Linked DNA regions of Mus musculus. Each later gene encodes a partner of the first gene's protein in a complex. Links are inferred from orthologs where the notes say so. Each region holds a gene or a part of one and is shown in the gene's direction. Other genes may lie near its edges.

Region 1 (3,653 bases):
TTGAAGTTTTTTGGTTGTTTGGTTGGTTGGTTTTGTTTTCTCGAGACAGGGTTTCTCTGTGTAGCCCTGGCTGTCCCGGAACTCACTCTGTAGACCAGGCTGGCCTCGAACTCAGAAATCCACCTGCCTCTGCCTCCCAAGTGCTGGGATTAAAGGCCTGTGCCACCACTGCCCGGCTGAAGTTTTTTTTATTTGGTGGAATTTGGACATTTTGTTTTTGATAAAGCTCCTCATAATTCTATATAAATCAAGGTGATGGATATTTTTGTTGTTGCTGTCATTGTTTTTGAGAGTCCCCTCCCATCCAGAAGTAAGAAAAAATTCTTCAATGGAATCAGTTTGAAGTACATTTTCAAGGATTTTTCAATTAAGAGTGACAATATGGTGGGTGCACTGTAAAAATGGTCCTATACATAGTTTTGGATTAGAGATTATAGGCTAATTTTAAAGGTTTTATGGATGGTTATGGGTCTAAAGATTTCTGGGATTCCTGACTTCTTCAGTACTAGAAACATGACTTCCTGCCTGCAGGCTTGGGGAGCTGGGAGTAGCTAAGGATTTGGGTACGTAGCTCAGTGGTAGAGCAAGCACAAAGTGTTGGGTTCAGTGCTGCCATCAAGGTGGATTGGTAGGGCTCACTTTAAAGCCTTGGACAGTCAAGTCTCTAGGCTAAGCGGATACAGAATGTGAGGTAAGGAAATACAGATTAGAATGATACTTACAGACCAAGGTACCAAGGCTCTTTAAATAAGTTTTCAAAATCTGTATTGCTAGGTCCACTGGTCTCCACATAATGAAACTATTCTGGCCTCAAGTGGTACTGATCGCCGCCTGAATGTGTGGGATTTAAGGTAATTTAGGATCTGGTGACAAGGAACTGCATAAATGTGTCAATCTAACAGATTACATAATAGAACTCATAAACCAGGAAAGCAATTTGCTGATCCAACTTCAATAAACTCCTAACTACCTTAAGAGTTTCTGTTCTGTGATAGAAAAGTAAATCAGCAATTAACATAAATTGGTCATGTATTTTGTATGAGTGTTTTGCCTGTGTGTGTAACACATGTGTGCCAGGTACTCATATCAGATCCCCAGAACAGGGACTATGAGTAGTTGTATAGGGATAGTACAATGTGGGGGCTGGGACATAAACCCTGTTGTGCATCAGCAACAAGTGGCCTTAACTGCTGAGCCACTACCACTCCAGCCCTATTTCTTTGTTGCTCAAGTCTTTGTTATGTGTGCTTAGCAAATTAAAATACCTTTTGCTACAGTTCACTAGGGTTGTAGCTCAATGATAGAGCTAGCATACACAAGGTTGTGGGTTCAGTCTCTAGTACCACAAGCATTAAAATACTGTCAGTGTCTCCTTGCATGTAGCATAGAAAAGAGAATTGTTGGATTGAGTGTTTTCGCTTTCATTTTTTGTGACACAGGGCATTGTGTAGCTCAGATCAGACTGGCCTCAAACTCATGATATTCTTGACTTTTCCTAACAAATCTTTCTTTGGCTTATACTTCATTAAAACCACAGTTAAAAAAGAAATTGAACTAATGTTTATTATGAGCAATATTTCTTCATTGTGCAGCTTTAATTTATTAGTGGCTCCAAATGAACAACTCACAATAATAAAGAATACTTAAGTCTGTTCTCAGCATTCTTGATGCTGCCACCCTTTAAAGTTCAGTTCCTCTTGTTGTGGTGAACCCCCCCAACCATAAAGTTATTTTTCTGGCTACTCCATAACTGTAATTTTGCTACTGTTATGAATCATAATATAAATGTGTGTTTTCACGCACCTGTGAAAATGTCGTTTAGCCCACACAGAGTGGCAACCCATGGGTTGAGAAACCTGTCTTAAGTACTTCTCATAGAGAAATACTTTCTGGGTTAATAAAACACACATGCATGCTATAAGACTTTGCAGTAATGAAAGCTTTATTTTCTTAATAGTAAAATTGGAGAAGAACAATCAGCAGAAGATGCAGAAGATGGGCCTCCAGAGCTCCTGGTATGCATTAGATTAAATGTCATATTATGCACACTTGAGTACTTTTTTACTAGACTATTTTAGGTCAGTCAGAGCTTCAAATTTTAGCTTGCCAGTGATTTCAAAAAAAAAAAAAAAAAAAGGAAATCCAGGAAGTTTTTGTGATTAGGCTCTGTAGGCTCTGACATTTATTACAAATGGTAAATGGAGCCCCAGAAGTTTCTGGAAATGTTTCAGTGAGGGTAACTTTAAGTTCCTATTGATTTCAGGTATGGTGTTTTTTGAGGCTTGTTTTGTTTTTGTTTTTCTGCTGGGAGGGGGATTGGGAGGTAGTATCACTGCTGTTTGATTACCAGCATGGTTTTCTCTAACCATATGGAAGTTAACACTTTTCTGTGAAATACTGACAGGCTTAGTAGTAGCTCTTTGTCCCTTTTCTGAATTGTTCACCATGTGTCTCCTCCAAACATTTGGTCATTGTCTCTAACATAGGTGAGAATTTATGGTGCATGAATTTTAAGGTGAAAAAAACCCTTTGAGAGTAAGTCCAAGACACAGAAGGTGTTCACTAGTGCTAACCTTGTGCAAGCTCCCTTGTCTCTTTGGCTTCTGTGCACAGTAGCGCCAGGCAGAAATGAGCAAGAGAAGGATAGGGGATTTTTAGACCAGTGTGTTTGACATTTATATCATTGCTGCTTTAAAAAATAATTCTATAACCCAGGAGGCTCAAGCAGGAAGGCCATGAGCTTTGAGGCCATGGCGGTGGTGGGGTAGGGGGATGAGACATTGAGTGTGTGGTATACAGATGGTAGTGTCCAAAATACTTTATTGTGCCTGACTCTTAGCCTTCATGATTTTTTTTTCACAAAGGCCTTTTGTCTACAGCTAGTTTTCTCTGTGTATATATTATGAATTTGCAATAGTTTTATAGTCCTTAAGGAACACCATTATGGGGCTAGTGAGGCAGCTCAGCATTTAAATACCTACTGTTCTTGGCAAGGGGACCAGAATTCAGTCCTCAGTACTCATGCCAGGTGGCACACAATGCCCTATAATTCTAGCTCCAGAGAGATCAGACATATCTGGCTTCCATAGGCACTGTACTCATATATATATATATAGGCATACATGCCCATATAATTGAAACTTTTAAAAAGTCTATTATGGTACTCATAAGAAAGCTTGAAATCAAAGGACATTTAAATTTAAGACTAGTAAGTTGTCAGTGAAGAGAAACGGTTCAACTGATAGAAGCAAGCTTGCCCCCCCCCCCCCCAAGGAGAGAAAAACACGAAGTTATTTATTTGTAAAGCTGTTTACCATACCATTTCACTTATGTGAAATTGTTGCTTTTAGTTTTTTCTGTAGCCAAGGCCTCACTCACAGAGATATGTGTGCTCTGAGATATGTGTGACACCCCCCCCCCATCTTGGTTTGTTTATCTCAGTTTTTTTAAAACTGATAAAGCTGTACTACAAGGTTTGTTAGGCATAGTGCCTTGTAGAAAACAAGATCCCACCCTTTTACATTTTTGGGGAAAGTTTCATTGGCCTATGCTGCAAGTCTGGACCTTAAAGTATTTATTTTTGCAACCCTGTTATATTGTGCCTTGGGAATATTGAGAAAAGGCTACTGTGAAAGACAGCTAGAGAAGAACCA
Region 2 (3,653 bases), on another chromosome or scaffold:
CCCCAATTTAAAATACATTTTTTTAAAGACTTATTTATTTAATATATGTGAGTGCTCTGTATGTACACCTGCATGCCAGAAGAGGACATCAGATCACATTATAGATGGTTATGAGTCACCATGTGGTTGCTGGGAATTGAACCTGTGACTTTTGGAAGAGCAGCCCGTGCTCTTAACTGCTGAGCCATCTCTCCAGCCCGGTGCTGCAATTTAAACTCAGCTCATTAAGCTTGTATAGCAAGTACTCTTACCTATTAAGCCATCTTTCCAAACTCTGGAATAACCTTCAATATGTCCTGGGATGTAGTTTAACTTCACAGGCAACTGTACGATTTTAAATTTGTTTATATGTTATAGTTAATACTTTTCAATGACTTGGCAAAAATTTATTCGGCTGCTTTTTGTTTTTGCTTTTTATCTCAGTGAAACTGCTTTCGGTTACAAGGGCCTGAAGATCTTGCTGTACTATATTGCTGGTAGCCTGTCAACACTGTTCCGTGTTGAATATTCATCTAAAGTTGATGAGAACTTTGATTGTGTGGAGGTAAGAATAGAAAGAAATATATTTTAACTTTTCTTTTATTTATTTGTTTGTTTGTTTGTTTATTTATTTATTTATTATATGTAAGTACACTGTAGCTATCTTCAGATGCACCAGAAGAGGTCATCAGATCTCATTACGGGTGGTTGTGAGCCACCATGTGGTTGCTGGGATTTGAACTTCGGACCTTCTGAAGAGCAGTCGGGTGCTCTTACCCACTGAGCCATCTCACCAGCCCTTAACTTTTCTACTTGAGTATAAGAGAAGGTTTTTTTTTGTTTTTTGTTTTTGTTTTGTTTTGTTTTTTCGAGACAGGGTTTCTCTGTGTAGCCCTGGCTGTCCAGGAACTCACTTTGTAGACCAGGCTGGCCTCGCACTTAGAAATCCACCTGCCTCTGCCTCCCAAGTGCTGATATTAAAGGCGTGTGCCACCACGGCCGGCTATAAGAGAAGTTTTTATTGTTAAAGTTCTAAAAAGGAATCTGAAATGTAGCTTCAGGATGAGGAAGTGTTTGCCTGTCTTTTCTCTAATCCTGTGATCATGATCCTGCGTCTGTTTATCTCCTGAGTGAAACTTCTCTATGAAAACTTCACTTTGATCAGAATACGTACCAACTTGCTTTTATTGTAGACATAGAAGTTACCAACTTTCTGTAGGCTTTTATATTTTAACGTGATTTTTGTCCTGTTGATTGTATTATGTTTTTCTCTTTCTCCCATGTTTTATATTTTTAACTCAGTTAAGTATCATCAGGAGGACTTCTTTTTTTTTTTTCTTTCTTCGAGACAGGGTTTCTCTGTGTCGCCCTGGCTGTCCTGGAACTCACTTTGTAGACAAGGCTGGCCTCGAACTCAGAAATCCACCTGCCTCTGCCTCCCAAGTGCTGGGATTAAAGGCTTGCGCCACCACCGCCTGGCTTATCTCAGTTTATATCTCTTGAAATTTTCTTTTAATTTTGCTGATAGAAAGCTAACTATGAATAACGCCATAGTTGTATAAGTGAATATTTGCAACTAAATTCCATCTAGACCAGCATTGACTAAATTACTAAAGTAGAGATTTTCAGTAGATTTTTTTTTTTATTTATTTAGATATGGTTAAGTTTCTCCAGAATCCAAATATTTAATACTGAGTATTCTGATATCAAATAACAGCTAATGTTTCCCTTTGAACAACACAAAATTCGCTGTCATTTGAGGAGTCTGTGTGCCTATGAATCTGTGTGAATGATTTAATGTTGCAGTTGATAGTGCTAAATTGATTTTTTTCCAAAGGAACTATTGACTTAGTTATTGATAAATCTTTCAAGTACTGTGTGTAGTGAAAATAGCTATTTGTACTAACTTCTAACTGGTCCATTTCTGAAAATCAGAGTTTTCTATTTAAAAGAACTATGTTAAGTATAAGAAATCAATCTTTTTGTCAGGTTACTACTTGCTTCATGGTCAAAGTTCATTTGCTTAGTGTTAAGGAAAGATCTCCCTCTCCCTTGTCTTTCTTTTTTTTTTTTTTTTTTATTTTTTTCATTTAAAATGAGATATGAACATATTTATTAGGATGCTCAATAATGAACATGTTATCACTTTCTTCATGTGAGGTAGAATACACCTGACCCATGCTGTGGGAAGAACAGGATAAGGGCTCCCAACACGGGCATCAAATGGTTCCACAAGACATCCCCATTTACCAAGGAGAGGATGTTTCCTGCTAGCACTGTCTCTGCTGTAAGTTCCAGCAAATTGCCACGATCTCCACAATACTGCCCCAGATACGGGAGAATATCAGGCTACATACATCAAAGATACACAGGACATTAATAAACGGCTCCCAGACATAGGCCCAACATCAAATTTCTTCAAATGATAAGGGGTGGGAGACTGCTACCCAAAGGAAGTTCCTCAGTGTCAGTAACATTTATGGAGATCTTATATCAAAGGCACAAGGGACCAGGGTTACTGTCATCCTATCCTGCACAGTGGAATAAGTTTGCAGATGAAAGTATACACTGTCCGTGGCTTAAGTTTCTCCTGGTTCTTCCTGTTGTTAAATGGTGACATTCTGCCTTTCACCTGTCCTAGCTATCATTTCATTTTTTATGGTAGAAGATAATGAAGAGATGGTGAAAAATAACCGTATTAAGACAAAAATAAAAATATAAAACACAGATGTAGTACAATATAATAGTAACTGGCTGAAAATAGTACATGCTAACAGACAATACGATACACAAACAGGGTGGCAGTAGACAGGGAAGGGCAGAGGCCACGGCCTACACCAGGAGCCTTTCAATAGACTGCTGAATGGACTGGATCTGCTGCTTTAGTTGAGAGCCTTCTTTGATGGTAACAGAACAGGCGATGACTGGCCTGGAGACACCACAGGCCTGTCCTAAAGCCTGCTTGGAGCGCACAAATACGTAGAGGACATTCTTGTCTTCACACAGCAGAGGGAGGTGCGGGATGATCTCCAAGGGCTCAGCGTCTGCTGCCATCACAATGAACTCAGAGATGCCTCTGTTGGGGGTTTTGGTGGCTTCATTGGCTCCTTTCCGAAGCTGCTTGTAGTTACATGACTGTTGAACAAGGTCCAGCAGCTTCTTGGTGAGGTGGGCATCTGCGAGGGGATAGGCCTTCGGATTCACATCAGCCTCTGTCATGCGACTCGATGACAGCCCACCTCAAGATGGACTGAGTTGTCTTTCATTTTTATTTTATTCTATTTTTAGCTTTTGTTTTTGTTTTCTTTTAAGGTTTATTTATTTATTATATGTAGTATACTGTAGCTGAAGAGGGTGTGAGATGTCATGGATGATTGTGAGCCACCATGTGGTTGCTGGGATTTGAACTCAGGACCTTTGGAAGAGCAGACAGTGCTCTTACCCGCTGAGCCATCTCTCCAGCCCTTATTTTTGTTTTTTAAGAATGGTGGTTGATGTGGGCATGGTAAGCTGGCCTCTTCTGTTCTAGTTTACAGTAATAAATTGATAAATGCTCATTCTCCAGGACTTCCTGTGAGCCATCTCCTCCAACCTCTCACCGCCCCCCAACCTCTGGCTCATGAATTATTTGTATTACGTAGCATGTTTGTATATGGGTATGACATGCAAATGTG
Region 3 (3,653 bases), on another chromosome or scaffold:
TGCTGGCTTGTTTCTCGTGGTTTGCTCAGTCGGCTTTCTTACAGAACTCAGGGCTGCCACCTCAGGCATGACCCCACCCACAATGGACTGGACCCTCTGTCATTAATTACTAATTAAAATATTCTACAGGCTGGCCCATGGCCATTTTCGAAGTTGAGGTTTCTCCTCTCCAGTGACCATAGTTTGTGTCAAATTGACCTAAATCGAGCCAGCACAAGGTAGATTGAACAAATGTTGACTTCAGCCTATTGAAGTCAGAGCCCGGAGGCAAGAGGAGCCAGTAGGAGATGTTCTGAGCTGCACTTTAGGAGAAATAGCTGGTCATGATGTGGCAGGCAGAGAGCTTGAATCGAAGGCCAGGAACCAGTTAGAAGCAATTTCTGTAGCTGAAACAAGCAACAAGGAAGTTTGGTTTTATCTGTAGGCTGTGGTTATAGTCCCAGGTAGTAGTGAGTGATTTTGTCGTGGAAAAGGAATTCCATAAAGGTGCGGTGAGTTGAGTCACCACACTGCCTATTCATTCCCAGTCAATTTTATCCCATATATAGGTGTTCTAGATTCACCCTTAAACACTGGCTTATGTAGGAACCACGGGCTCTTCCTTTTATTTAAGGTGAGGAATACTCATGGAAACTAGAAATGAGCGTTAGAGTTCTGGGAGTTTGCTGGGTTCTCCCAGGAGAGTGTTTAACTGTGTTAGTAAAGCTGCTTCTCTAAGAGCTGGAGAGGTGGCTCAGTAGTTAAGAGCACTGAGTGTTCTTCAAGAGGACCAGGGTTCAATTCCCAGCATCCACATTAGGCAGCTCCCAGGAGACACCTGCACCAGCATGTACATGTCCACACACATTTATGTGTAATTGAAAAGGAAATCTTTTTTTGTTTAATTAATTAATTAATTTATTTATTTTTTTTTAAATATTTTTTTTAAATATTTATTTATTTATTATATGTAAGTACACTGTAGCTGTCCTCAGACACTCCAGAAGAGGGAGTCAGATCTTGTTATGGATGGTTGTGAGCCACCATGTGGTTGCTGGGATTTGAACTCCTGACCTTCGGAAGAGCAGTCGGGTGCTCTTACCCACTGAGCCATCTCACCAGCCCCAATTTATTTATTTTTATTGTGTGTGCATTGGTGTTTGAGGGGGTCAGACTCCCTGGAACTGGAGCCACCATGTGGGTGCTGGGAATTGAACTTTAGACCTCTGGAAGAGCAGTCAGTGCTCTTACCCACTGAGCCATCTCTTCAGTCCAAAAATAAAATCTTACAAACCGGAGAACCTGGGGGTATCTGTGGTGTCTTTAATCCCAGTACTTGGCAGAGTTAGGTAGATCTCTGAGTTTGAAGACAGTGTGGTCTACAGAGTGAGTTCCAGGACAGCCAGGGGTGCACAGAGAAACCCTGTCTGCACATGGGTGCACAGAAAAACCAAAATAAATAATAAAGCAAACTGTCTTCTCTTTCAGGGGATGTTGGAAACTACTATTATGGACAAGGGCACCCCATGAAGCCTCACCGAATCCGCATGACTCACAATTTGCTGCTCAACTATGGTCTCTACCGAAAAATGGAGATCTACGTGAGTTCCTGAGTGCTGCCCCTGCCTGCCTTGTCAGCTTGGGTTCCCTGCCTGCATTCCTTTTTGGGGGATGGGGGGGAGGGTTTGGTTTTTCGAGACAGGGTTTCTCTGTGTAGCCCTGGCTGTCCTGGAACTCACTTTGTAGACCAGGCTGGCCTCAAACTCAGAAATCCACCTGCCTCTGCCTCTCAAGTGCTGGGATTAAAGGCGTGCGCCACCACACCTGGCTCCCTGCCTGCATTCTTTAGTTTCCTTTCTCAGCTGCTCATTCATTCAGTGGCTATTATTTGGCGAGTAGATGAAGGTTCTATTTTTTTATTTTTAAGCACTTCAGTGTCAGTACGTGTAAGCTAACCAAGTTTACCGTGTCTGTGTAACAATTAAAGAATGCTAATGATAGAGAGGTGAGGAGTGAAGAACGGAGCCGTGGAGTTCCTTCAGACTGACTAGAAAGTCAAGGATGAGGCTGAGGTTCTAGCACTTTGGTGGGAGAGGTAGGATTGGGGTTTCAAGGCCACTCTGGGCAATTCACAGCCAGCCCTGGTATAGGAGACCCTGTCTCCAAAGAATGAAAACGCCTAGAACTTAGTGCAGCATTCACAAAGGGACTGGTATCCAAGTCAAGGGTTGGACAGAGGCACAGACCGAACTGAGGATGACGTGGTGTTTGGAGAAAGCAAAAGTCTTCGGGAAGTGCGCTGTAAGCCAACATGGAAGCCCAGTGTGGGTACTGCGGCGTGGATGGCTGGAGATTCAAGGCTGGCCTGGGCTACAGTCTTAAATGAGTGCGAGCTAATCTTAGCCTAGAATAAAACCCAACAACATGCTGGGTAGTGGTGCTTTGAGTCCCAGCCCTCAGGAGGCAGAGGCAGTCAGATCCCTGAGTTGAGGCCAGCACACAGTACACAGTCAGAGTATGGACTGTCTCTGACTTGGGGGCTCTTGTACCTCATTGTCTTCATCGAAGCCATAGCTGAAGGTGACCTTTGCACTTGTGACCCTCTCGGCTCCCCTCTGAAGAGCTGAGCTCCATGGTTGCCCGCAGGCACACCTTTTTATACAGCGCTGTCGTTGTCTTCCAGTGCTATGCTTCCAGCCTCAGTGTAAGCTCGTGTCTTGTTCCCACATACAGCTCTAACTAATTTTGTCTGAGCTTCCAATTTTAAAAGAAAAACTGGAACTTTGGATTATATAATACCACCTAAGTTTAAAATGTTGGCTCCATGTTTTGTCTTTGTTTTAATTTTTGGCTATAATTCCCAAATCTGTTTTTATTTTTTAGCATATGTGTAAAGAATACCAATATATGTGTAGACTAAATTTGGCTTGATTCTCAGTTTGCCTCTTCTGCAGGCAGTGCGGTACAGATTGAGAGCTTTTTTCCGTTTGGTTTGTTGAGGCAGGGTTTTGTTGAATTTGTAGTCCCAACTGGCCCCAAACGTAGGTAGTCTGGTTGCCCCCAGCCTCCCAAACACATGGTCACAGGTTGGCTTCCAGCTCAGTCTGTGGGGAGTGATGGCCTTGAGTTTCAGACCTCCTGCCTCCTTCCAAGGCCTGGATTACCAAGATTGATTTATTTATTTATTTATTTATTTATTTATTTATTTATTTATTTATTAATTATATGTAGTTACACTGTAGTTGTCTTCAGACACTCCAGAAGAGGGCGTCAGATCTCATTACAGATGCTTGTGAGCCATCATGTGGTTGCTGGGATTTGAACTCAGGAGAGCAGTCAGTGCTCTTAACTGCTGAACCATCTCTCCAGCCCCATGTCTAGTTCTTACAGCACTGGAGATTTGAACCCAGGACTTCATGAACACTAAGTATTCTGGCTGCTCTGCAGTGGCAGATACTTGTTAGCTGGGTGTGGTTGTACATACATGGCTTTGCTCCTAGTACTTGAGAGGCAGAGGTAGAGGAGTCTCTGAATTCAAGGTCAATGTGGTCTACATGTCAAGTCTCAGGCTAGCCAAGACTACATAGAGACACCTTAAAAATGTCTTAAAAAATAAAATACAGGACTGGAGAGACTGCTCAGCTGTTACGAGCACTGACTGTTCTTCTGAAGGT

The links.
Region 2: Rbbp7 (region 1) and Hat1 share a complex: the UniProt entries of both Homo sapiens proteins name them as parts of the type B histone acetyltransferase (HAT) complex. The link is inferred for Mus musculus from reciprocal best matches to the Homo sapiens genes RBBP7 and HAT1.
Region 3: Rbbp7 (region 1) and Hdac1 share a complex: the UniProt entries of both Homo sapiens proteins name them as parts of the core histone deacetylase (HDAC) complex. The link is inferred for Mus musculus from reciprocal best matches to the Homo sapiens genes RBBP7 and HDAC1.

What each region holds. Positions count from the first base shown.
Region 1 is NC_000086.7:162,773,779-162,777,431, forward strand, and holds part of Rbbp7 (histone-binding protein RBBP7), read left to right. Parts: intron 1-774; coding exon 775-851; intron 852-1,957; coding exon 1,958-2,015; intron 2,016-3,653. UniProt on the Homo sapiens protein: Core histone-binding subunit that may target chromatin remodeling factors, histone acetyltransferases and histone deacetylases to their histone substrates in a manner that is regulated by nucleosomal DNA.
Region 2 is NC_000068.7:71,409,720-71,413,372, forward strand, and holds part of Hat1 (histone acetyltransferase type B catalytic subunit), read left to right. Parts: intron 1-423; coding exon 424-544; intron 545-2,071; exon of another isoform or gene 2,072-3,233; intron 3,234-3,653. UniProt on the Homo sapiens protein: Histone acetyltransferase that plays a role in different biological processes including cell cycle progression, glucose metabolism, histone production or DNA damage repair. Coordinates histone production and acetylation via H4 promoter binding.
Region 3 is NC_000070.6:129,532,541-129,536,193, reverse strand, and holds part of Hdac1 (histone deacetylase 1), read left to right. Parts: intron 1-1,467; coding exon 1,468-1,580; intron 1,581-3,653. UniProt on the Homo sapiens protein: Histone deacetylase that catalyzes the deacetylation of lysine residues on the N-terminal part of the core histones (H2A, H2B, H3 and H4).